Linked DNA regions of Callithrix jacchus. The protein of the gene in region 1 binds, or shares a complex with, the protein of each later gene. Links are inferred from orthologs where the notes say so. Each region holds a gene or a part of one and is shown in the gene's direction. Other genes may lie near its edges. The genes, in order: EIF4E2, EIF4EBP1 and TARS1.

Evidence for each region.
Region 2: the proteins of EIF4E2 (region 1) and EIF4EBP1 are in contact, whole or in part, in a crystal structure (PDB 5NVN), measured with the Homo sapiens proteins. The link is inferred for Callithrix jacchus from reciprocal best matches to the Homo sapiens genes EIF4E2 and EIF4EBP1. Residues at the interface, in NP_004837.1 of Homo sapiens: Glu53, His54, Pro55, Leu56, Gln57, Tyr58, Tyr64, Arg66, Lys83, Gln84, Ile85, Gly86, Val91, Glu92, Gln93, Trp95, Arg96, Phe97, Ser99, His100, Met101, Val102, Leu107, Phe113, Glu149, Asn150, Leu153, Gly157, Glu158, Gln159; in NP_004086.1 of Homo sapiens: Arg51, Ile52, Ile53, Tyr54, Asp55, Arg56, Phe58, Leu59, Met60, Cys62, Arg63, Ser65, Val67, Thr68, Lys69, Thr70, Pro71, Pro72, Asp74, Leu75, Pro76, Ile78, Pro79, Gly80, Val81, Thr82, Ser83.
Region 3: the proteins of EIF4E2 (region 1) and TARS1 are in contact, whole or in part, in a crystal structure (PDB 5XLN), measured with the Homo sapiens proteins. The link is inferred for Callithrix jacchus from reciprocal best matches to the Homo sapiens genes EIF4E2 and TARS1. Residues at the interface, in NP_004837.1 of Homo sapiens: His54, Pro55, Leu56, Gln57, Val91, Glu92, Phe94, Trp95, Arg96, Glu149, Asn150, Leu153, Leu156, Gly157, Glu158, Gln159, Met161, Val203; in NP_001245366.1 of Homo sapiens: Pro51, Glu52, Tyr53, Ile54, Tyr55, Thr56, Arg57, Met60, Tyr61, Ile63, Leu64, Glu67.

The regions. Positions count from the first base shown.
Region 1 is NC_133507.1:153,933,108-153,940,789, forward strand, and holds part of EIF4E2 (eukaryotic translation initiation factor 4E type 2), read left to right. Parts: intron 1-1,402; coding exon 1,403-1,517; intron 1,518-2,533; coding exon 2,534-2,668; intron 2,669-7,682. UniProt on the Homo sapiens protein: Recognizes and binds the 7-methylguanosine-containing mRNA cap during an early step in the initiation. Acts as a repressor of translation initiation.
Region 2 is NC_133514.1:38,879,374-38,887,842, forward strand, and holds the start of EIF4EBP1 (eukaryotic translation initiation factor 4E-binding protein 1), read left to right. Parts: upstream 1-3,599; 5' UTR 3,600-3,661; coding exon 3,662-3,806; intron 3,807-8,469. UniProt on the Homo sapiens protein: Repressor of translation initiation that regulates EIF4E activity by preventing its assembly into the eIF4F complex: hypophosphorylated form competes with EIF4G1/EIF4G3 and strongly binds to EIF4E, leading to repress translation.
Region 3 is NC_133503.1:171,861,392-171,869,073, reverse strand, and holds part of TARS1 (threonine--tRNA ligase 1, cytoplasmic), read left to right. Parts: intron 1-76; coding exon 77-200; intron 201-1,732; coding exon 1,733-1,854; intron 1,855-2,372; coding exon 2,373-2,490; intron 2,491-2,807; coding exon 2,808-2,872; intron 2,873-2,954; coding exon 2,955-3,033; intron 3,034-4,058; coding exon 4,059-4,205; intron 4,206-5,382; coding exon 5,383-5,481; intron 5,482-6,466; coding exon 6,467-6,633; intron 6,634-7,682. UniProt on the Homo sapiens protein: Catalyzes the attachment of threonine to tRNA(Thr) in a two-step reaction: threonine is first activated by ATP to form Thr-AMP and then transferred to the acceptor end of tRNA(Thr).

The DNA.
Region 1 (7,682 bases):
ATGATTTCAGAGATCTGTGATGAGTTAATCGTCCAGCCCTAGAATAAATGGCTTTCTTATTATCTTTCCATTTATCTTTTTGTCTGGATCCAGTGATTTTTTTAGGTGTACCTGAAAGCCTTTGAGTAGTTTCGCTGCTCATAAAAGGGTAATCCCTAAAGTACGTTTGACTGCTTATGAAGTAAGAACATATTCACTCCTTTTTCAGTCATTTATTTTTCCTTTTGATTTAGCATTTATTCAGCATCTTCTAGTGCTGCATGTTAAGGCAGCATCTTGCCCTGGGTGCTGGAGATGCCGAGATGAAATAAGACACTGCTCTAAAGGACCTCTGTCTAGTAGGAAAAACGGACATAGGAATGGCATGGTAGACTGAAGGGGTAGTGTTTGCAAATGGCACCAATATGGGAATATAGATTGCTAGAGGAGGCAGGAAGGAGGATCCTGGCTGGCGGGAGTCAGATTCTAGAGGGTCTTACATTTTGCTGAACTTTATCTTAGAGGGTAGGCATCAAAAGGTAAGAGACAATTACAAGTTTAAAGCATGGAAGTTAAATGTCAGATTTGCACTTAAAAAGATAATACTGGCCAGGCACAGTGGTGCTTGCCTGTAGTCCCAGCTACTTGGGAGGTTGAGGTGGGAGGATCGCTTGAGCCCAGAAGTTCTGGCCTGTAGTGCACTATGCCAACTGGGTGTCTGCACTAAGTTCGGCATCAATGTGGTGACCTCCCGGGAGCGGGGGACCGGCCCAGATTGTAAATGGAGCAGGTCGAAATGCCTGTGCTGATCAGTAGTAAGATCGCGCCTATGAATAGCCACTGCACTCCAGCCTGGGCAACATAGCGAGACCCCATCTCTTAAAAAAATGTATATTAAAAAAGATAATGCTGGTGAAAGGATGCACAGAGAGTACGAGATTTATGTCTGGAAGACCACTGAGGAATTTATTATATGATCGAGGTGTCAGGAGAAGAGCCTAAAGTAGTAACGGTGGAAAAGTGTAGAAGCGGCAAAGTGGATAGTAGGTTTGTAACCTTCATTTGAAATGCCAAAGCAGTTAGTCTTCTAGAGACTCTTCTCATTTTTTACTCCATTTTTGGCAGGGAAAACAATCCCTTAAACTGTCTACCTCCAGCAGTCAATAACTGGTTCTTCGTGTGGCTTTTTAGAAGACTGAAAGGCAGTGCTTTCTGGAGCTCACAGGTTAGCTGATGGGCATTTCATTTTTGTTTAATCCTCCTAACTTGCCTGTCTGTATTCTCTTGCCCTTCTCACATCTCAGAGCCTGCATTTGAGTGACTTTGGGTTGTTTACATAGTAGTTCATATGACCTGGTGGCTTTGTTCGGTAAGTAAGAATTGACTTGGTCACAGAATTGTATTGTTTTGCCTTTGTATTCAGTTTGAAAGATGATGACAGTGGGGACCATGACCAGAATGAAGAAAACAGCACACCGAAAGATGGTGAGAAGGAAAAAACAGAGCGAGATAAGAGTCAGAGCAGCAGCAAGAGAAAGGTGAGTTTTGCACTGCACAGATGTAGTTGCCTTTGAACTTGAGATTTGATTATCTTATGGAATCTGTTTATCTGGAAGATACCAGATTAACCTGACTAGCATCCTGTGTTGGAATATCTTTGTTCTCAGAAAAACACTGTGCAATCATGGATGTTCATTTTGAGACCTAGAGCTTTTCTCTCACCACAGGATCTTGAGATGGTGCCTTGCTTGCAGCATTCTCCTAGCCTGACATAGGGGAAATTAGCCCTAGAGCTTCACAAGGTTGTTAGCTGCTTCATAAGCCACTGCTGAGGGTTCCAAATCCTACACACTCCTTGAAATTTTAGTCAGCATTAGTCTAAGGTGAAAGCAATTTGGAAAAGGGAAAACTTGGTGAATGAGAGAGAGAGAGATCAATTTTTTTCCTTGAAATATCAAAGCAATCGCTAATTCATTTATTCTACAATATTGAGTAACCCTCCAAGGGCAAGCCATTTTATGCTAGATGCTAAGAGGACACAAAGGTGAATGAGACTGTGGCAGGGACTTACATTTAATAGTACCAATAATAACAATGCTGACATCTGTTGTGCACTTACTGTGCGCCAGGCACTGTGCTCAGCATCATGTATTTGTTAATTCATTTGATCCTCTTGTTATTATTTTCCTCATTTGCAGGTTTGAAGATTAGACACAAACAGGTTAAGTAACTTGCCTGTGATGAATCTTATAGAGGAGGCAGTGCTTGAACTAGGCATATGCTCAGATAAGATACAAACATGAATACCTAGTATTATATGAGGGAGAAAATTACAAAGGCCATAAGAACACAAGTGTTACAGGAATTTAGAATCAGTTAACCACTGAGGAAATGTACTGTGTGAGCAGAATCGTGGGCACATTGCAGGTAGTTAAGGTTGTATTTACTCTTTTAATTGTGGGAGTGGTAAGGATTGACACTGTAAATTGTTCTGTCAGTCTCAGACAATGTGGCAAATGCCAGGACTCACACGCCTTCTTTACTTCCCTCCCAGGCTGTTGTCCCTGGACCGGCAGAGCACCCCCTGCAGTACAACTACACTTTCTGGTACTCCAGGAGAACCCCCGGCCGTCCCACCAGCTCACAGAGCTATGAACAGAATATCAAACAGATTGGCACCTTTGCTTCTGTGAGTTCTTGGTGGTTTAATAACGTGCGCCTTGACATTTCATTCATGCCTGTATTGATATGATGTTTATTTACCTTTCTAGTAACCTATTTAGGATTCTGGTTTCCTTAATTTACTGACCTGAGGCTCCGAGGTCAGATTTGTTCAATCTTAGGTTTCTCACTAGATATCCATGGTTAACATGTAGTTATCAACAAATATGAGAATTGTCGAGTTGATCAGAAGGGCATAATACAAAAGTACGGGTTTGGGTTTTTTTATTTTTATTTTTTTAACTGAGACAGAGTCTCGCTCTGTCACCCAGGCTGGAATACAGTGGTGTGATCTTGGCTCACTGCAATTTCCACTTCCCAAGTTCCAACAGTTCTCCTGCCTCAGTCTCCTGAGTAGCTGAGATTACAGGCGTGCATCACCATGCCCAGCTAATTTTTGTATTTTTAGTAGAAATGGGATTTTGCCATGTTGGCCAGGCTGGTCTCAAACTCCTGACTTTAGGTGATCCGCCCACCTTGGCTTCCTCAACTGCTCACATACAGGAGTGAGCCATAGCACCTGGCACTGTTTCTTTTTGTTTTTCAGGGTTTTTTTTTAAGTAGGTAGTTAGGGAGTCCTTACCAAGTTAAAAGTGTCATGAATACCAAAGTTTATAGTACATGGTGTCTATCCTCATGAAGTTAGACAGTAAAATGAAAAATTTTGAAAGTTTTATAGTTAAGAACCTTCCATTAGGGTTTTGGCTGTGTTAATGATAATGCGTAAATGTTTTTCTTGTGTTCAGAAAGAAAATGAAATCTCTAATAATTGCTTTTGCGGATAATGTCAGTACAGAGAGCCCAGACCATCTCATCTCTCTCCCAGGTGACTTGGTTTGTGTACCCCAAGAATCCATCTCCAACTAACCCCACGCCAGTTGAACAAATGTTATTATGTACCCCCTGTATGCTGTACATTCGATCTCTAGGCAGAATCAAATGTGGGGTTTGTCATTTTCTTGACATTAGTGAAGTATTAGTCCTATTTGAAATGCAGAAACTAGAAAAGAATTCTTCAGTAGGAAATACAACAACAAATTGCTAAGGAGGAAGGACACATAATACGTATTAAGTTTATGTAATTTCCTTCAATCATTATGATAGCCTATGAGGTCAGTGGTATTAATCTATATTTTACAAATGAGGAAAGTAAAACTTGGGTTATATATCTGATCTAAAGTCTCAAATTGGCAGGGCATGGTGGCTCATGCCTGTAATCCCACCATATTGGGAGGCTGAGATGCGAGGATTGTTTGAGCCAGGAGTTTGAGATCAGCCTCATCAACATGGTGAGATTCTGCCTCTACAAAAAGCTTTTAAATTAACTGGCTTGGAGAGATGGGGAACATTAGAAAGAAAAAAAAAGGGCTGGCCATGTTGGCATGGACCTGTGGTCCCAACCACTCAGGAGGCTGAGGCAGGAGGATCACTTGAGCCCAGGAGGTTAAGACTGCAGTGAGCCATGTTCATGCCACTGCACTCCAGCCTGGGCAGCAGAGATGACCCTGCCTAAAAAAAGTTTTTTAATTTTCATAATTCACTGGATTAAGTTGGGGAGCCAGTATAATTGAAACTCAAGTATAGAAGCTTCTCGATAGCTGAATTCATGGAGGTGCCTGGAGGGTGTCACACCTGGAGGGGCCATAGAAGCTCCCTGTGCCTTTCTCCACACCTTCCCCTATACCCTGCCCTTCACATCTCTTCATCTGTATCCTTTGTTTATAATAAATGACTAATGTAAGGTACCAAGAAAGAATAGTCTTTTTCAACAAACAGTGCTGAGACAACTGGATCTCCAGGTGCAGAAGAACGACTTTGCATTCCTTCCTGACACCCTACACAAAAATTAACTAAAAATGGATCATAGATATAAATGTAAGAGCTAAAATTATAAAATTCTTAGAAGAAAATATGAGTAAATCTTAATGACCTTAGGTTAGGCAAAGCCTTCTTAAATAACACACTAAATGCACAAGAGCAAAAGATTAACTATTAGGCTAGGCATGGTAGCTTATGCCTGTAATCCTAGTACTTTGGAAGGCTGAGGCAGGAGGATCACTTCAGCTCAGGAGTTCGAGACCAGCCTGGGCAACATAGTAAGACCCCATCTCTATAGGATTTCATCAAAATTCAAAACTTTTCTGCTTCAAAGGACACTATCAAGAAAGTGAAAAGATAAGCTACAAAATGGGAGAAAATATTTGCAAATCATGTCTAATAAGGAATTTGTATCTAGAATACTCTTACAACTCAGTAATAATCTGCTTAATATGAAATCAACATCATTACTCTGCTGAGCAGATAAAATTTCAGCCCAAAGCAAAGATATTGTTTAGTTCACCAGTGCTATCTTAGTATCAAACAGCTTTGTTAAAATAATATAACTAGTTTGTGCACTGGTTCATATTTGGTTCAAGAAATACTTGTTGAATGAATTCCAGACCCTAGTAGGCTTCTAAAAGGAATAAAGGCACAGATCCTGTCCTTGGGGAAATAAGATGTGCCCAAGAATTTCTAATACAGGGTAGACAATAAGTTGTGCTATGGGAAAGCATGTAGAGTGCTCTTGGAGTTTGGAGGAAAGAAGGATTTGATTCCAGTTTGAGGAATACTGCCTTGGAAGATACAGGTTTACTACTGATTTTAAAGATTTTGGTCAGGCCTGGTGGCTCATGCCTATAATGCCAGCACTTTGTGAGGCCAAGGAGGATCGCTTGAAGTCAGGAGTTCAAAACTAGCCTGGGCAACGTAGTGAGATCTTGTCTCAAAAAAAAAAGGTGGGTTGCAATTTTATTTCCCTTTTGTGAAAAAGCATATATGAATACCTGGCTTATACAAGGAGGGTTTTTCTTTTCTTTCCTTTTGACATATATGTTAAGGAGTGGTTTATCATCAGGACTGTCTTGGGTTAAGGCTTCATCACTGCTCACTGGATGTGTGACAGTATTTAAAGTCTGTCATTTTGACTCTGTAGGTCTGGATCTGAAAAATAGAAATACAGTCTGTCATGTAATTCAGACCTCATTAGGAAATGGCTCACGATGTTAAATTCATCACAAAGAAATAATTACATGATGAATCCTTTTATTGAATTCAAAGCAGCGTTTCCCAGTGATTCTTAGCCTAATAATTAACAACATTTAAAAGTTACTAAAGTCAGCATGATTAGGAAGGTATCATCTTGAAATGGAAAGAGCACTGGACTTGGTCATCAGAGCTAACCTCTTCTGGTGCTTGACTGTCTGGGTTACAGCAACTCTTGTAACTGTTTTCTCAACTATAAAATAAGTAAAGTTGTTGAGATTATTTCTGAGGTCCTTTCTACACCTCATATTCTGAGTCTGAATGCTTATTTTTTGGTTTCAGTTAGAACTATCCAAATAAATCTTTTAAAGTTTAATAATACTTCTTAGGCCAGGCATAGTCCCAGAACCTTGGGAGGCCAAAGAGGGAGGATCACTTGAATCCAGGACTTCAAGACCAGCTGGGCAACAGGTTAAACTTCATCTCTACCAAAAAAAAGTAAAAAATTAGCTGGGCATGGTGGTGTCCACTTGTCTCGGCTACTCGGGAGGCTGAGGCCAGAGGATTGCTTGAGCCTTGGAGGTAGTGGTATAGTTGTAAGATTGGAGGAGACTAAAGTGTTGAAGTGATTGTTGACTGGGGAATTGGAAATGGTTGGTATACTTTCTCCTTTCCACGCCCCTTTCAGTTCCTTATTCACAGTGAGCCACTAGTGGGTGTACTTGGTTCTAGTGGAGAGATGTGGTTTTTCTGCAACTATGTTAGGGTGGATAATGGTTTAGATTATTGCTGATTGTATTCATATGACCAGTTGCTATCCCAAATCACTACATGCAGTTAAGCTTAGCAGTTGCTGAGATATGAAGCACTGCTTTGAAGTCCTATAGTTTCTGACTTCTATTTAACATGTAAGATGTGTCACATATTCTTGTGCTAGAGAGGAACTAAAGGGACAGCCATTTCACACAGTGTAAGGTTGATTTCTCCTTGGGTGCTCCTCAGATCTAGAAGTATGACCTGAATCTTGTCTACTCAATACCCATTGTCAGCTCCACAATTATGGTATCTTGCTATATGTTGATATCGAGCTCCTCAGCAGGTTGGCAAATACTAGCTATTTCTCATCAGACTGCACCATGTTTTCTCTTTCCTCTTAAAGTGTACCTCTTCACTGGCCAGTACTTAGTAGGTATCCTCTGTGAATAAGGAAGTTATTTCTCCTATCAAAACACTAATGAGCCTGTAGTCCCAGCTACTCGGGAGGCTGAGATAGGAGTATCACTTGAGATCAGGAGTTAGAGGCTGTAATAAGCTATGATCATACTGCTGTATAGACCCTGTATCTTAAAAAAAAAAAGAGTGGGGGGGGATGACACTAATAAGCAAAACGGGACTACTGTGATGAATACAAATAAGCATATACTTGATAGGAAAATATAAATCTAGCTTTCTCACAGGATTGTGAAGGAGAGGCAAGGAGAAACCTTTTTCTAGCTAAGAAGAAGGCCTTAAACTCTAGCTATAAGAAGCTAAGTCCTGTGTGATTTTGGATTGGCCCGGTCTTAGCGTGATGTGGAGTGGTATGTGTGGTATACGTGCTTGATTCTGTCACTTATGCTTAGTAACTAACAGCTCTAAGAGATATTTCACTCAGCAAATGCTGTGTTGCCAGTTAAACAATCTTTGATCAGTAAGTGATTTGGTTCTAAAAAATGCATTCCTGCTGAGGCTGTGTGGCACTTAATATACCTCAAGGCTAAAGAGTTTCCATTGTGCAAAAAGCTGTCTTCTTACTGCACGTGATGACTACCCCGCAGCTTCAGTGGGAAAGTGCATATTGACATGGTTTCACCAGCTGAAGGTCCTGGCTGAGCCTAGCATTTCTCACCAAAGATTTTATTCTTGTATTGCCAATGTTACATGTTTTCTTTTGTCAAACTAGTTGGTAGGCTTTTCCT
Region 2 (8,469 bases), on another chromosome or scaffold:
CCAGCTACTCGGGAGGCTGAGGCAGGAGAATTGCTTGATCCCAGGAGGTGGAGGTTGCAGTGAGCCGAGATCGTGCCATTGCACTCCAGCCTGGGTAACAAGAGTGAAACTCCGTCTCAAAAAAAAAAAAAAAAAAAAAAAAAAGCTTTGGTTCCTAGGCCCAGAACAAACACCATTAATGAGTAATCCCCCTTCCCCGCCCGGCCCCCAGAGGGCCATGTGGGACAAAGTTTACATGAGTAATCAACTATTTAGAGTAGAGACAAAGGAATGTGAGGTAAACCGACTTAACTGGGGAAGCTTCTATTATCACTAATCTTCACCCTATGACCTAATGCTCTAAGGTAAGGACCAGCTAGCTGCCTTCAGTCTGTCCCATTATTACAAGTTACTGAAAACCTTTCCGCCTTCCAAAAGGTTTGAGACTATAGTCTTTTTTTTTTTTTGAGACAGAGTCTTCGTTGCCAGGCTTGAGTGTAATGGTGCGATCTCAGCTCACTGCAACATTCGCCTCCTGGGTTCAAATGATTCTCCTGCCTCAGCCTCCTGAGTAGCTGGGACTACAGGTGTGCACCACCATGCCCAGCTAACTTTTGCATTTTTAGTAGAGATGGGGTTTCACCATGTTGGCCAGGATGGTCTTGATCTCTTGACCTCGTGGTCCGCTCGTCTAGGCCTCCCAAAGTGCTGGGATTACAGGCGTGAGCCACCGCACCCAGCCAAGACTATAATCTTAGAACTTCCCTAATATTTCCCTTAATATTTTGCCAACCACCCTGAGTGAACCCAACAGTTATACAGCCTTTTTGTTAGGGGAAAGGGAAGTGGGGAAGTGTGGATGATTTTAGGAGGGTTCTAAAGATTTTTAAGAAAATTCAGGCCGGGCACGGTGGCTCACACCTGTAATCCCAGCATTTTGGGATGCCAAGGTGGTCAGATCATGAGGTTAGGAGATGGGTTTCCCCATGTTGCCCAGACTGGCCTCAAAGTTCTGGGCCCAAGCAATCCTCTTGCCTCAGCCTCCTAAAGATCTGGGATTACAGGCATGAGTCACCGCGCCTGGCCTAGATATATATTTAAAAGGTCTTTAGGTGTTTTTCTCTCTGAATTCTGTTTTCTTCATGTGTTTCTGTCCGTCTCTCCTTCCTCTTGTCACCCTCTGCTGCCTGAGGGATGTTAAATATTTCTAACAGCCAGGTACAGTGGCTTACACCTGTAATCCTAGCCTTTTGGGAGGCCAAGGTGGGTCGATCACAAGGGCAGGAGTTCAAGAACACTCTGGCCAATATGGTGAAACCCCATCTCTACCAAAAATACAAAAATTAGCCGGCGTGCTGGCGGGTGCCTGTAGTCCCAGCAACTTGAGAGGCTGAGGCAGAAGAATCGCTTCAACACGGGAGGAAAAGATAGCAGTGAGCCGAGATCGCACCACTGCAATCCAGCCTGGGCAACAGAGCCAGACTCCATCTCAAAAAATAATAATAATAATAATAAATTTCAAACAGCTTGGGAGTCCTTAAAGAAAACAGAGAAGATGCCAGACTTCTTTTTAGGAGAAGCCCCTGTTTTTCCTTATGGAACCCCAAAGGGTAAACAGACAAGTTCCTCTCAGATCTTAACCTGCTGGCTTTTGTATCGAGTTACCTGCCCTTTTTTTTTTAACCTGGCTAATTTTTGTATTTTTAATAGAGACAGGGTTTCACCATCTTAGCCAGACCAGTCTTGAACTCCTGACCTCATGATCCACCCCCCATCGGCTTCCCAAAGTGCTGGGATTACAGGCATGAGCCACCGTGCCTGGCCTATAATGTATTTTTCTTAACCCAGTATACTCAAAATATTATCAGTTCAACATATAATCAATATAGAAACAAATTATTCAGGTATTCTACATTTTTTTTTTCACGCTAAATCTTTGAAATATTGTGTATGTTAAACTTGTGGCAGTTTGGACTGGCCACCTTTGGAGTGCTCAGTGTGTACCTGTGGCTAATGGCTACTGTGTTAGCCACTGTAGGTCAAAGTTTAGCTCAAGAGTGACAGAGGCGCGGTGGCTCATGCCTATAATCCTAGCACTTTGGGAGGCTGAGGCATGTGGATCACGAGGTCAGAAGATCGAGACCATCCTGGTTAACAGTGAAACCCCATCGCTACTAAAAATTAAAAAAATTAGGTGGCAGGCACTGGTAGTCCCAGCTATTCAGGAGGCTGAGGCAGGAGAATCACTTGAACCCAGGAGGCAGAGATTGCAGTGAGCCGAGATTGTACCACTGCGCTCCAGCCTGGGCAACAGAGCAAGGCTCCGTCTAAAAAAAAAAAAAAAAAAAAGTGAGACCAAACTCAACAGCTCTCCCCATCTCGGACCTTGCCCTCCTTGGCCCATCCCAAAACTCCAATGGCCACTAGTTATCGTTCCAAAAAAACAACTCTAATCATGTCATTCCCCCGCTTAAAAGAGTTCTGATGTCTCCTGCCTCTCTAAGACAACGTCCAAGCACTTTGACATGATTTGAAAAACTCAACGACCTGACCCCAATTTCCTTTTTGAAAAATTATTACGTATTTTTTAGAGATAAGGTCTCTGTCCAAGGAGGAGTGTAGTGGTGTGATCACAGCTCACGGGAGCCTCCAACTTCTGGGCTCAAGCAATCCTCCAGCCTCAGCTTCCTAAGCAGCTGGGATTACAGGTGCATCACCCAATTTCCCTTTCGAACCGTCCTCTCTTCTTCACCCTCTTCCCCACAACATGTGCACACAATGATAGGAACTTCTCAAACCCAACAAGTTTTTCCATCCTCGGTCCTTCTTGCATTTTTCTCTCTCCCCTTGAACATCATCCATGCATGCATCCATTCATCCAGCAAAGAGTACCTACTAAACATCCGTCAATTCAACCAAGAAGTACCTACTAAACCTCAGGCAGTGGCGTGGGTATTGGACCCAATTCAGGGGCTATCGGGAAACCTTTTGGACAAACTATTACTCCTCCCCTACGCGTCCCCCCTCCCGGCCGCCCCCAACTCTAAATTTAGCTCCCAGGACGCTGCTGGTTGGTTCACTCCTCCCACCCCTTCTCTTCCTCTCTAAAGGCCAGGAGCGGAATTGTTAGTCCCTCCACACCCATCCCCATCAAGGTCAAGAAATTGAGGTGGGGTGAGCATGACCAGTCAATCCCACTTTCTCATCTGAGGAACTGAGGCAACGAACAGGGAGTGCCAAAGGGTACACCCGGCCTGAAGTCTTAATGCAGAAACCGGGCCTTCCTGCAGTGGGCCGGGTCAGCTCGGATCTCCGCGCGGTCCTGAGTCACCGCCCCCAACCCAGACAAGGATTAACATAGGCGAGCTATTCCGCCCGCCACCCAACCCGGGTCCCTGCCAGAGTGGCGCCGAGGGACCCGAGAGCGGAGGAGCAGTCGCTGGGGGGCGGTATGGAGGAGCCCGTGAGCAGGCGGGCGTGGATCGGGGGGCGGCAGGAGAATCCACGTGCAAGCAGCGGCCTGGAGCTGGGTGGGGCTGCGGCGCGGACTACAAATCCCAGGGGCGTGGGCCTGGAGAGGCGGAAGGGGCGTCCTGGGGCGGGGCGGGCCGGGGCGAGGCGGAGCGAGGCTGCAGGCGCGGGAGGGCAGGGAGAGGTTCGCGGTTGCAGCGCACAGGAGACCATGTCCGGGGGCAGCAGCTGCAGCCAGACCCCAAGCCGAGCCATCCCCGCCACTCGCCGGGTGGTGCTCGGCGACGGCGTGCAGCTCCCGCCCGGGGACTACAGTACGACCCCCGGAGGCACGCTCTTCAGCACCACCCCGGGAGGTAGGCGCTGGCTCGGGGACGCCGCGTGCCGGCTCCCGGGAGGGCGGGAGGATTGGGAATCGCGGATCGGACCGGGCGTCCAGGCTAAAGGGTGCTGTGGCTGGGAAGAACGGAGAAGGGGCGTCGGGGAGACAGCGAGGGTCATGGAAGTGACCGCCCGGCTGTCCTCCGAGTGCGTCGTCCAGACCGGAGCTGCAAACTGCCCCGTTCGTTTCCTCTTTCTGTTAGGTGTCAGACAGCTGACACCTAACTAACAAGCACGCCTCCAGGACTGCCACGTGCCGAGCTGTGCTGCCCCTTGTGGATGTTGGGGGCGCTCCCCAGGCGGGATAGGGCGGGGTCAGTGTGGCCCACGATCCAAGAAAGGCTCGGCCTGGTGTTTTTATGGGATGAGTTGGGATAAATTTATTATTTATCTGTTGGGATAAATGATTTCTACAGGGCCCTGATTTTTTCCCGAGGCACCCCTAGTTTTGCGTTGGACACTCGCGCTCTGACGGAGGTTTGGGTCTGCGGGTGCTCCCCTGCTCCAGCAGCACCTCCCGGGCACCTGTGGCACGTTCCCCATTTATGCAAGTGAGATCTCCGCGGAGGGGCCTGTCGCCACGGGCCGGGCTGTGCAGAAAAGCACGTTCTTCTGTCCGGGGGGAGGAGGAGGCACCGTGTGACCTCCCTGGGAGAGGATGAGGAAGAGGAAGCTGAGCTGGCACGGGTGGGGTGGACAGCCTCGGGCTGCCCTCAGGAACCTGGCATTCCCTCCCAGCCCCGGAGCCGCAGCGCACAGGCGCTGATGAAACCTACGCTCCTGTTTGCATGATGAAATAAATCCTCGTGGCTCACCACTTCGGTCCCATCCTTGCACTGCCCCCACTCCTTTTGCTCCTCTGCCTCCATCCTCCTCCACGCTGCTTTCCAAACTACTGGAAAACGCGACAGATCCCGGCGCTTGGCTCGGTGGCGGTGGGGGCCAAATGCTTATTTTCTCAGGCAGATTCTGCCCCACCGGCAGCAAGCACAGCCGGATCCGAGGTCCTCTGCCGTTCGATCCAAAACATACACTGTTAGAACGGTTAGGGATCTTGTCCAACTCTGCCGCCTGTTCTACAGAGCCAGGCACTGAGGCCTCAGAGCTGGAACACGTGTCCATTGTCACACCGTTTTCCCAGATTGGGCAAGAAATAGCAACCAGGCAGAGAAAGGAGGAATGCTTCCTCTTCTGTTAGAAATGATCCGAGGAGAAGCTTGCAGGCGCTCTTGTTGCCACTCCCGACTCATCCTCTTTCACTTGTAGTCCATGCTGTTCTCCTTTGTCTCTGTCACAATGGTCTACCAGGCCAATTCCTGACACTTTTGGAGTTCTTTCAACTGAGGGGGTAAGTGTCTGCTGGATTCGTTCAGGGTGGGCCCTGAGGCTGGCCTGAAGGAACAGGGAGCCTCTTTTTGCACCCTTTGTTGCTGGATTGTTGGGTCAAATTAGAAGCCAGGGATACTGTTTATAGGCACTTCTGGCCGAGGTACCAAGATTCATGCCTGTAATCCCAGCATTTTGGGGAGGAGCCAAGGCAGGAGAATTGCTTTAGGCCAGGAGTTCAAGACCAGCCTGGGCAACATAGTGAGATGCCATCTCTACAAAAAAAAAACAAACAACAACAAAAAGAATGTTGTCCTAGCTACTCCAGAGGCTGAGGCCAGAGGATCGCTTGAGGCCAGGAATTGGAGGCTGTGGTGAGCTATGATTGACCACTGCAGACCTTATCTCTAAAATAAATAATAAATGTAAAATATAGGAACTTTGAATCCACTTTTCACTTTGGATTGGGAAGTGGAGAGTAGTCAGGGGGCTGACAGCAAATCCCACTCACTTTGAAGGTCTTTAGCAGTAGCAGGAAGGGAGAAGGGGCTTCTGCATTGGGACATGGCATATGTTTCTGAGATTACTGGAAGAAGCTAGCAGTGCCAGGAACCTAAAGCCAGCTCACTCTTTGGGGCGGCCTGTGGAGCAGGTACAGCTCCCAGTCCCTAAGCCAGGGAAATCCGGCTTACTTCTACTAAAGTCAAGCAAGCCTGGTCAGCCTCGATTAGCCAAGGTGTGGACTCTTCCTCCAAAGCCCACCTTAGCCCACTTCTGCCAGGGCAGAGAAGCTGAAATGGTCACATCCTGGGACCCTTTGGCTCCAGACCAGAATACTGCCTCTCACTCTTCCAGGTGCATAAGGATAACTGGGGTCTTCATTTAAGGTATATTCTGATTCTGTAGGTGGGGGTGGGGACTAGATTCAGCATTTCTTTTCTTTCTTTCTTTCTTTTCTTTCTTCCTTCCTTCCTTTCTTTTTTTTTTTTTTTTTTGAGACAGGGTCTCCTCTGTCGCCCAGGCTGGAATGCTGTGGTGCGATCTTGGCTCACAGCAACCTCCACCTCCTGGGTTTAAGCGATCCTCCCACCTCACCTCCCTGATACCTGGGACAACAGGCACATGCCACCCATGCTGGCTAATTTTTGTATTTTTTGGTAGAGACGGATGTTACACCATGTTGGGCAGGCTGGTCTTCAACTTCTGACCTCAAGTGATCTGCCCGCCTCTGCCTCCCAAAGTGCTGGGATTACAGGCGTGAGTCACCATGCCCAGCCTAGAGTCAGCATTTCTAACTAGCTCTCAGTGAGTAGTGCACATACCACACTCTGAGTACTCAGGAATTAGTGGAACATCACTTCCCTTACCTTTCAGATCTCTGGAGTCTGGGGGGAAAAAAGATGGTTCCATTTGAGATAAATTTTGAAGTTGGGTTCAGCATCCATCTCTAAATCATGGTGTGGAAAGCTGGGCTTTTGATAGAGTGTCTGCACCTGCTTACTTAGAGGGACTGTCAGCTTCTCAGGAATGGAGTAAATGCCCACCAATCACTCCTGCTGGGAATAGCCCTCAAGTGATTGTCCGTGGGTGGAAAGAAGCAGGCGTTGGGTTGAACTATCCCCATTTCTATAACTCCAGTTTGCTTTCTGTTTTGTTTTTTTTTTTTAACCTGAGATAAGGTCTTACCCTGTCACCCAGGCTAGAGTACAGTGGCATGATCCTAGCTCACTACAGTCTCAAACTCCTGGGCTCAAGTGATCCTCCTGCCTCAGCCTTGTAAGTAGCTGGGACTATTGGCACGTGCCACCATGCCCTGCTAAATTTTAAATTTTTTTGTAGAGGGGGGATCTCTCTGTGTTGCTCAGGCTGGTTTCAAACTCCTGGGCTCAACCAGTCCTCCCACCTCGGCCTCCCAAACTGCTGGAATTACAGGGATGAGTCACTTCTCCTGGCCTCCAGTTTGCTTTTCATGGTCATTAACCATTTGCACACTGAGGCCCTGCTCTGAGGTTAGCTGTCTGGAGTACTTAAGAGAATTTTGCCAAAGGGAGTGTCATGTATGAATATTTGAGTCTGTGGAGTCTTGGAAATATCCAGCAATACCGTAAACTGCCCATTAGCCAGTAGAACCTTTGAGTGGGTCAGAAAGAAACCTTCCCTCATCAGTCTCCCCATTCCCAGCTCCACGTTACCTCTTTGCCTCCGAAGCCTACAAACAGGGTTGGATGGCAGTCCTGCCTAAGACCTATGCCTGGATAAGGTGAATCAGAGGTGAGCAGGTAGGGCTGCAGGTGTTAATGGCACCCTGTTTGGTTAAGCAAACAAGGTCTGTGCCCAGGAAGCTTACCTTGGAACAGCTCCCAGGTCTTTGGACATGAAACAGTGCTGGGAAGAGGGGGACGTAGACTGGGCCCCAAAGCCACAGCACAGCCCATGTCCTGAGGCCGTAGTCACATAGAGGAAGTTATTATTAAGGATCGGTTAAAAGAGGGAAGAAGTTATTATTAAGGATCGGTTAAAAGAGTCTGGACATTAAATGCAGTGAGGGAGAAACAATGGGCCCTCTTCTCACATTGACCTGAGCTTCCTTTTAAAGTGTTTGAGGGAGCTGGGTGCAGTGGCTCGCTCCTGTAATCCCAGCTACTAGGAAGGCTGAAGCAGGAACATTACTTGAGGCCAGGAGTTTGAGACCAGCCTGAGTAACATAGTGAGACTCTGTCTGTGTAAATTAAATAAATAAAATTTTTTTAAGTGTTGGAAGCATTCCACACTGTGTCCCTAATTAAACATTTGGTGGGGGGTTCCTGGTGTAGAGCATCCCAAACTCCCTCCAGTGCTCAGACTCCTTGTTTTTTTTTTTTTTGAGGCAGAATTTTGCTCTTGTTACCCAGGCTGGAGTGCAATGGCGCTATCTCAGCTCACCGCAACCTCCGCCTCCTGGGTTCAGGCAATTCTCCTGCCTCAGCCTCCCAAGTAGCTGGGATTACAGGCGTGCACCACCATGCCCAGCTAATTTTTTGTATTTTTAGTAGAGACGGGGTTTCACCATGTTGACCAGGATGGTCTCGATGTTTGTTTATTTTTAGATGGAGTTTTACTCTTGTTGCCCAGGCTGGAGGGCAGTGCCACAATCTTGGTCACTGCAACCTATGCCTCCTGGGTTCAAATGATTCTCCTGCCTCAGCCTCCTGGCTAGCTGGGATTACAGGCATATACACCATGCCCAGCTACTTTTTGTATTTTGATTAGAGACAGGTTTTACCATGTTAGTCAGGCTGGTCTCCAACTCCTGACCTCAGGTGATCTACCCGC
Region 3 (7,682 bases), on another chromosome or scaffold:
AAAATTAAGTGTTGTGCTACAAGAGCTTTTTTTAGATTATTGTGTGTTTATATATGTGTGGACATTTTTTTTTAAGTCAAGGCCTGGCTGACAACACCGTTATTGCTAAAGTAAATAATGTCGTGTGGGACCTGGACCGCCCTCTGGAAGAAGATTGTACCCTGGCACTTCTCAAGTTTGAGGACGAGGAAGCTCAGGCAGTAAGTTGCTGATTTAGTATTCACTGAATTTTAGGGCACAGATTCACATTTGCAGTCTTTTCCAGCTCAGTACTGCTGCAATTGGGTAGCTAACATTTATTGTTGTCTCATTGTCATATTTGAAATCTTCATTTTGTCCTTCATTTAGGGAACATAATAAAAGTGCTTGCCTTAGAAAATTAAGAGGTAAATCTGAATAAGTCTTTTCACTACTAAGACACTTAAGTGGGGAAAATGTTTTGGGAATTTTATTAAACATTGATTAAGGAAGTAAAAATTACTTTCTAAATTATGAACACTTTATTTTATGTTTTATTGTATTTTGTTTTATGTTAAGATGGAATCTCGCTGTGTCACCCAGACTGGAGTGCAGTGGCATTATCTTGGCTCACTGCAGCCTCCACCTCCCGGGTTCAAGTAATTCTTCAGCCTCAGCCTCCTGAGTAACTGGGATTATAGGAGCACACTACCATGCTCAGCTGATTTTTGTATTTTTAGTAGAGACAGTGTTTCACCATGTTGGCCAGGCTGGTCTTGAATTCCTGGCCTCAAGTGATCTGCCCATCTTGGCTTCCCAAAGTGCTGGGATTATAGGTGTGAGCCACTCTGCCTGGCCTCTAAACTATGAACACTTTAGCTAGATACATACATTTGACAAAGAAATTTGAACCTTATTTCAAGGTACTCCACTTATTAAACAATTTCTGTATTTTTTTTCTCATCTTAAGATGCAAATCTGCTAGGTAGCACTATAAAAATCAACCTACATTTAATGACAAGATTTTATTTCTCCGTGGCTATGTATCATATAAGGAGAGACAAAATATTTTGTTTTAGTTCTGATTGCTCACTTATGTATGTGGATCAGTGGTTTTCAAATATATTTTGGAGCCCACAAGTTTCTTATGAGAATTTTTTAATGTCACTTTAGTACCTTAATAATAAATCTTGAAAATGTTGCTTTGGGTGTATTCTGACTCATCCCAGTGATTACTGTAAAACCAAGTACTGCCATTTGATTTCAGCGTGCAGATATGTGTCCTTGTGTTTTGTCATTGTGTTGTGGGGTCAGGTTGTACCACCTTTGTTTTGGGCCAGTAACAACATATAATTTCTAAGTGATGTTCCATAGCCAGCTGAAGGCCAGATCACAGTGTCTGAGACATGGTGCTGTGAGCACATTGACTCAAAAGAACCTGGGGCATTGCAGTCAATGAGACAGTCACATTTTGAGTAGTGATTGTTTTCAGAGAACAAAGTCAATGCCATTTAATTAATGATGCCAAGTTTAGTTTAATTTGTTTGAAAACAGCTAAACCAGATGATTTCCAAAATAAAAATACACTTCAGTAATTGGAAGCCTTTTGAATAAGTTTGGCTATGGATAGAAACACATAGTAGTTTGTAGATTTAGAAATTCAGATTTTTATATATTGGGTTTACTTGTAATAAATATTTTTTGTCTCCTTCCACATTAATTCACAGCTTGTATGCCAATACTCAGAACATGCCACTTTTCTTTAAATTTTCAGGTGTATTGGCACTCTAGCGCTCACATAATGGGTGAAGCCATGGAAAGAGTCTATGGTGGATGTTTATGTTATGGTCCACCAATAGAAAATGGATTCTATTATGACATGTACCTTGAAGAAGGGTAAGCTATCAACTAGATAAAGACAAATGAAGTAAATGACGGTGGGTCCCCAGATTATTTTTAGCATTCTCAGTAAACGAGGAATGATACAGAGCTCACTGCTTCTTAGTCATCAGGTATCCCCATTATCAGTACTTGAAGTGTTGCAATTTTCTTGAAGTTATAGAGGATTTCATGAGATCTCTGTTCTAGATTGATGGAGGTAGAGTCCTAAGGTATTTTGGGAAATTCAAGGAGACTGATCCTCCCCTCTCTTTTAAAACCTGGTGATACAGTTGCAGGAAGGGGGTCACTAGTGAGAAAAGTCTCTGTGGATAATCAAGGTAGAAGCCACTGAAAATATAAAATGTAAAAATTACTTAGGAAAAATGTTTTGGTTTTTTTTTTTTTTAGAATTTAGTCTAATTTTTTAGTATTAAAAGCCTTCAAGTATTCAAAATACTTTTTCCAAATACACATTTCTCTAAGCCACGGTGTGATCGAATGGAATAAAAAGATTATACTTTGTTCTTCTTCAGGGGCGTGTCTAGCAATGATTTCTCTTCTCTGGAGGCTTTATGTAAGAAAATCATTAAAGAAAAGCAAGCTTTTGAAAGACTGGAAGTTAAGAAAGAAACTTTACTGGCAATGTTTAAGGTAAATTGAATCACAGTGTGTGCCTCCACTGTTACACCGTTTATCTATGGTAGTTGAAGTGACACCACTGGGGTTCAGTGTAATAAGATGAAGCCTATTTGGTTCTTTAGAAAAATGTAAGTGTTTTTATTTATTTATTTTTAATTTCATTTTTTTCCTAGCAAACCATTCCAACGTGTTTTTAAAGCATTCACTGTCAACATTTATATTCATACAGTGCTTTGTTGCGATATACTTTGAGTTACGTTTTAGCTATAGTACTTAGAGGTAAAAATTAAAGGACAGTTTTTTAAAGAAATATTTTTTCCTATTTTCAGTACAACAAGTTCAAATGTCGGATATTGAATGAAAAGGTGAATACTCCAACTACCACAGTCTATCGGTGAGAATATTACATATCATTAGATGTATCTGGTGTGTATGTCAGTTTGTCTTTGTTAAAATTCCTTTCATTTTATCTTTAGGTGTGGCCCTTTGATAGATCTCTGCCGGGGTCCTCATGTCAGACACACAGGCAAAATTAAGGCTTTAAAAATACACAAAGTAAGCAATGTAACTTTAAAGATTATGTGAATGTATCTGTCTAGAATAGATACGTGTTTAAACTTTCACTGATTTCTCTTTATCATTTTCTGTTGCACATGAAAGGATGATATATTTTCTCATGCTATCTATTAGCTGGGAGCTGTATGCCATCAGGTTTTTATAGTTGAAATTCCCTCAAGGAGTGACTGACTGGCCAGAGCAAGCACAGGGGATGGAGGTTTTACAGAATCATACAGCATGGGCCATCCTGGCTCTGAAAGTTCTGAGACTCACTGTAGAAGTATGTGCTTTTGCCCTTTATATGTCTAAATTAATCATTTCCCAAGTTATTTTTTTGATAAAACCCAGTCAGTTTTATACTAGTTCATAAACATTTTATGAAGGTTATTAAAATGCACTTTAAATCAAGAGAATAATTGAGTCATTTCAAGATTTTTTTTTAATTGGTTCATTACTATTTCTGCTCTATCATTTTGGGAGAAATGCCTCTGCAGGCAAAGTAATGTTTGTGGAATTGTGGTTGATTGAGTATTGAGGGGTGGGCAGTTTAGGGGTGTTGCCTCAAACTGGGTCTCGTTCTCTTGCCCCAAAAAGACAGAATAGAGGACCACTTGCGCCTGGGAAATGGAGGTTGCAGTGAGCAGAGATCCGTACTCCAGGCTCAAGTGGTCCTCCCGCCTCAGCCTCCTGAGTAGCAGGAACCATAGGCACACACCACCATGCCTGGCTAATTTTCCTTTTTTTGTAAAGAACAGGGTATCCCTGTGTTGCCCAGGCTGGTCTCGAAGTCCTGGGCTCAAGCGATCCTCCCGCCTCAGCTTCACAAAGTATTGGGATTACAGGCGTGAGCCACTGTACCCACCTGCGGATTGAGGGAGGGGCATTTTCAAGGGAAGAAAACAGCCAACTTTGTGCTGCAGAATGAGTAACTACTCTAACAAGGCCTCAGAGCAATTGGGAGTTAAAATAAATGAGATGTTTACAAATTTGAATGTTGTTTCATCGTTAATCCTTGTTTTCAGAATTCCTCCACGTACTGGGAAGGCAAAGCAGATATGGAGACTCTCCAGAGGATTTATGGCATTTCATTCCCAGATCCTAAAATGTTGAAAGAGTGGGAGAAGTTCCAAGAGGAAGCTAAAAACCGGGATCATAGGAAAATTGGCAGGGTATGTTCAACAACAATGATGTGTCTAGACTGAGTTATCTTCAGTTTCATTTGAAGTTTGAAATTTAGCTGTATGAAGTGCTAGGAATTTTGTTTTGAAGAGATAATGTAGCGTTTTAGTAACTGGTGCTATGTCCTGTACAAGCTGTAAATACTTACTCATTGTCCACATTATCTGCCTGGAGTGTGTTCAGTACCATTCAGAAATTCATTTGAACTACTTTTATTGAGAACAAATGCTGATTTGATCTATAGTTTTCCATAAAAGAAGCATACAGCTTCTCGTAGAGCTGGGGAAACTAGACTTCGGAAACAATTTAGTCTTCCTGACTCATTTAAAATGTGGAAACAGTGTCCCACAAAGGATAACCTACTTGTTGCCCAAGGTACATAGCATGTCACACATGGATTCTGTGCTGTCATTTCCTCTACCCATTATCTCTGTTACTCCTGAATGTCTTCTGAACTAGAAGTTGGGCTCAATAAAACATTTCTCCCTAAAATAGTCACTCTGTGCCTGGAGTCTCTAGCTGTTAAGTTATTAAGCTTGAGCTGGAGATATCAGCCATTCCCTTGTACCCCTGACTACCTGATATTCCAGCTATGAGGCAGCCAGCAGTGATTGGTGGGCCCTTCCCTGGGGGCTTTTGGGCATTTGGCTGGTGTGGGGGAGATGCTGGGCAAGAAGGTAGGAGGTGTATTTCTTTAACCATGACCCAATGTCAGCCAACTTTACCATCATCTATTTCATTATCGGTATTTTTCCTAGTCTCCTTCCTCACCCACCTATTAAGAAAATAAAAAAGAATGAAAATGAAAAAACATCTAGACCTTGGAGCTTTAAGGAATTAAGAACCATAAGAGGGACTGCAGTGGATAGTAAGAGAACTGAGGGATCCTTACTCCCTGTTACGTTGGGGAAACTTGATTGGATTGAGGAATGTGACAGGAAGGGCATGTGTTACACATCTGCCAAATTGTAAATCAGCTGCAATTCTGAACCACCAGAAACACTGATGTGGTTTCTCTGATTCAGAGTTGGCACTGATTGAAATATGGCACATCATGACCATATTCTGAGTTCAAGAATACTGAAATTTATGTATATATATATATATACACACACACACACATATACATGACATACATAAACATTTTTTTGCTTTTCTTTTACCCAGGACCAAGAACTATATTTCTTTCATGAACTCAGCCCTGGAAGTTGCTTTTTTCTGCCAAAGGGAGCCTACATTTATAATGCCCTTATTGATTTCATTAGGGTAAGTCATATTTACTGTTTTTCAGATTTAGGATATATGATCATTTTTATTAAATAAGGTCTACTAAAAGGAAGGATAATCTGTATTTGAGAAGAAATATATAAAATAATAAGTAAAAGCAGAAGTCTGTGGTCTTATAAATCATTCCTAGTAGGTGATTCGCCCTTATACAAAGAAGCTGGTGAGCATGAAGGGGGACCTTTGGTCCTTGATGTAGGAGTCCTCTTTGACTTTGATCATTCATTTGTATTTTTTTGAAAAAACAGTTTTTATGTTGCTTTTTTCTTTGTAAATTATGAAATGTTTGAAATACAAGTTTACAGAGAACAGTATAACCACTATCTTGTGTACTTAATACCCAAACTTAACAAATACTTATATTGAGCTATATTTGCTTGAGATTTTTTGTTCACGATATTTAAAAAAGTTGCTTAAAAGCCTATCTTTAGGACCCTCTTCTGATGTATATATCTCCATATACTGGTATATTATATATATGCTTATGTTGGCATCTCTTATACCAGTTTTGAAGTTGGCATGGATTCTTTTTGTTCATGTTATTTACATCTAGCCTATGTATTTGTACACATTTATTTATGTATTTATGTGTTGCATACAGGAAGCCTCACTGTGTATCAGACTGCACTGTGATTTACTTTAGACATACAAATCCAGTGTATTTTTGCTTGTTGCATATTATTTTGCTATATAACTACCACAGTGCACTCATCCCTGTATTGATGGACGCTGATGTAGAATTGTCCCTTACTATCAGCCATGCTGTGGTAGCATCGCTTTCATAACCCTTCTTATCTGCATGTGCTGAGAGTTTTGTCTTTGGTATGTACTTAGAAGTGGGATTTCTGAATCATGGCATGTGTGCACATTTTTCATGAGAGTATAAAATTGCTCTTTCAGTTTTTATTCCTACTTGAAGTGTAAGCCTTTATCTGCCTACACATGTGTTCTGTTTATTTTCTATCAGAGCGAATATAGGAAGAGAGGATTCCAGGAGGTAGTAACCCCAAACATCTACAACAGCCGACTCTGGATGACCTCAGGCCACTGGCAGCACTACAGTGAGAACATGTTCTCCTTTGAGGTGGAGAAAGAGCAGTTTGCTCTGAAACCGATGAACTGCCCAGGACACTGGTATTTGGCAGCTTTGAATTCCTGTTAAAGATTTTCACAGGCTACAATTCATCCTGGGTTCTGTCTCTCCTTTAACAACATTTTCGTTAAAAATAAATTATGTGTCAGAAGAGCATTTAAATGCAACATCATTGTTGTATTATATCTTCTATGCCTGATTAGATCCCCAGATCTTTTTTTTTTTTTAAGAGACAGGTCTCCCGACGGGAGTGCTGGTGTGCAATCATAGCTCACTGCAGCTGGGACTGCAGGCACATGCCAACATGCCCAGCTAACTTTTTAATTTTGATTTCTGTAGAGAGAAGGTCTTGCCACATTGCTCAGCCTGGTCTCAAACCCCTGTCCTCAAGCTCTCCTCCCATCTTGGCTTCCCAAAGCGCTGGGATTACAGGCATGAGCCACCATGCCCAGCTAGAGCTCTAGATCTATGGGCATTCAGTAATGATACTAGGAGTATAGCAGTGAGCAAGGCAGAACATAAAGATGGAATATGGGGGTGTAACAAATGATCTAATGTGTTTTTTTTGTTGTTGTTGTTGTTTTTGAGACAAAGTTTCGCTCTTGTTACCCAGGCAGGAGTGCAATGGCGCGATTTCGGCTCACCGCAACCTCCGTCTCCTGGGTTCAGGCAATTCTCCTGCCTTAGCCTCCTGAGTAGTTGGGATTACAGGCACGCGCCACCATGCCCAGCTAATTTTTCGTATTTTTAGTAGAGATGGGGTTTCACCATTTTGACCAGGATGGTCTTGATCTCTTGACCTCGTGATCCACCGACCTCAGCCTCCCTAAGTGAAAAGAAACTTGTTTTGTCAAAACCTACTACTAATAATTCAGCATTCTTGGAAAACGTTCCTTGTCGTGAGGCTGCTCTGCTTTTTGTCTTTGAAAGCTGGGTGAAGAGCAGCTTAAGGGAAGACACAGAAAGCTGTGGATAAAGGTAGCTCAGTGTCCACAGTTCCTACTAACAGGCCTGTAGGGCACGGGAGCTGAGAGAGGAATCTTCGTGAAGAAGCTATATGATAGGCCATGGAACCAACCAAGTTCACTCT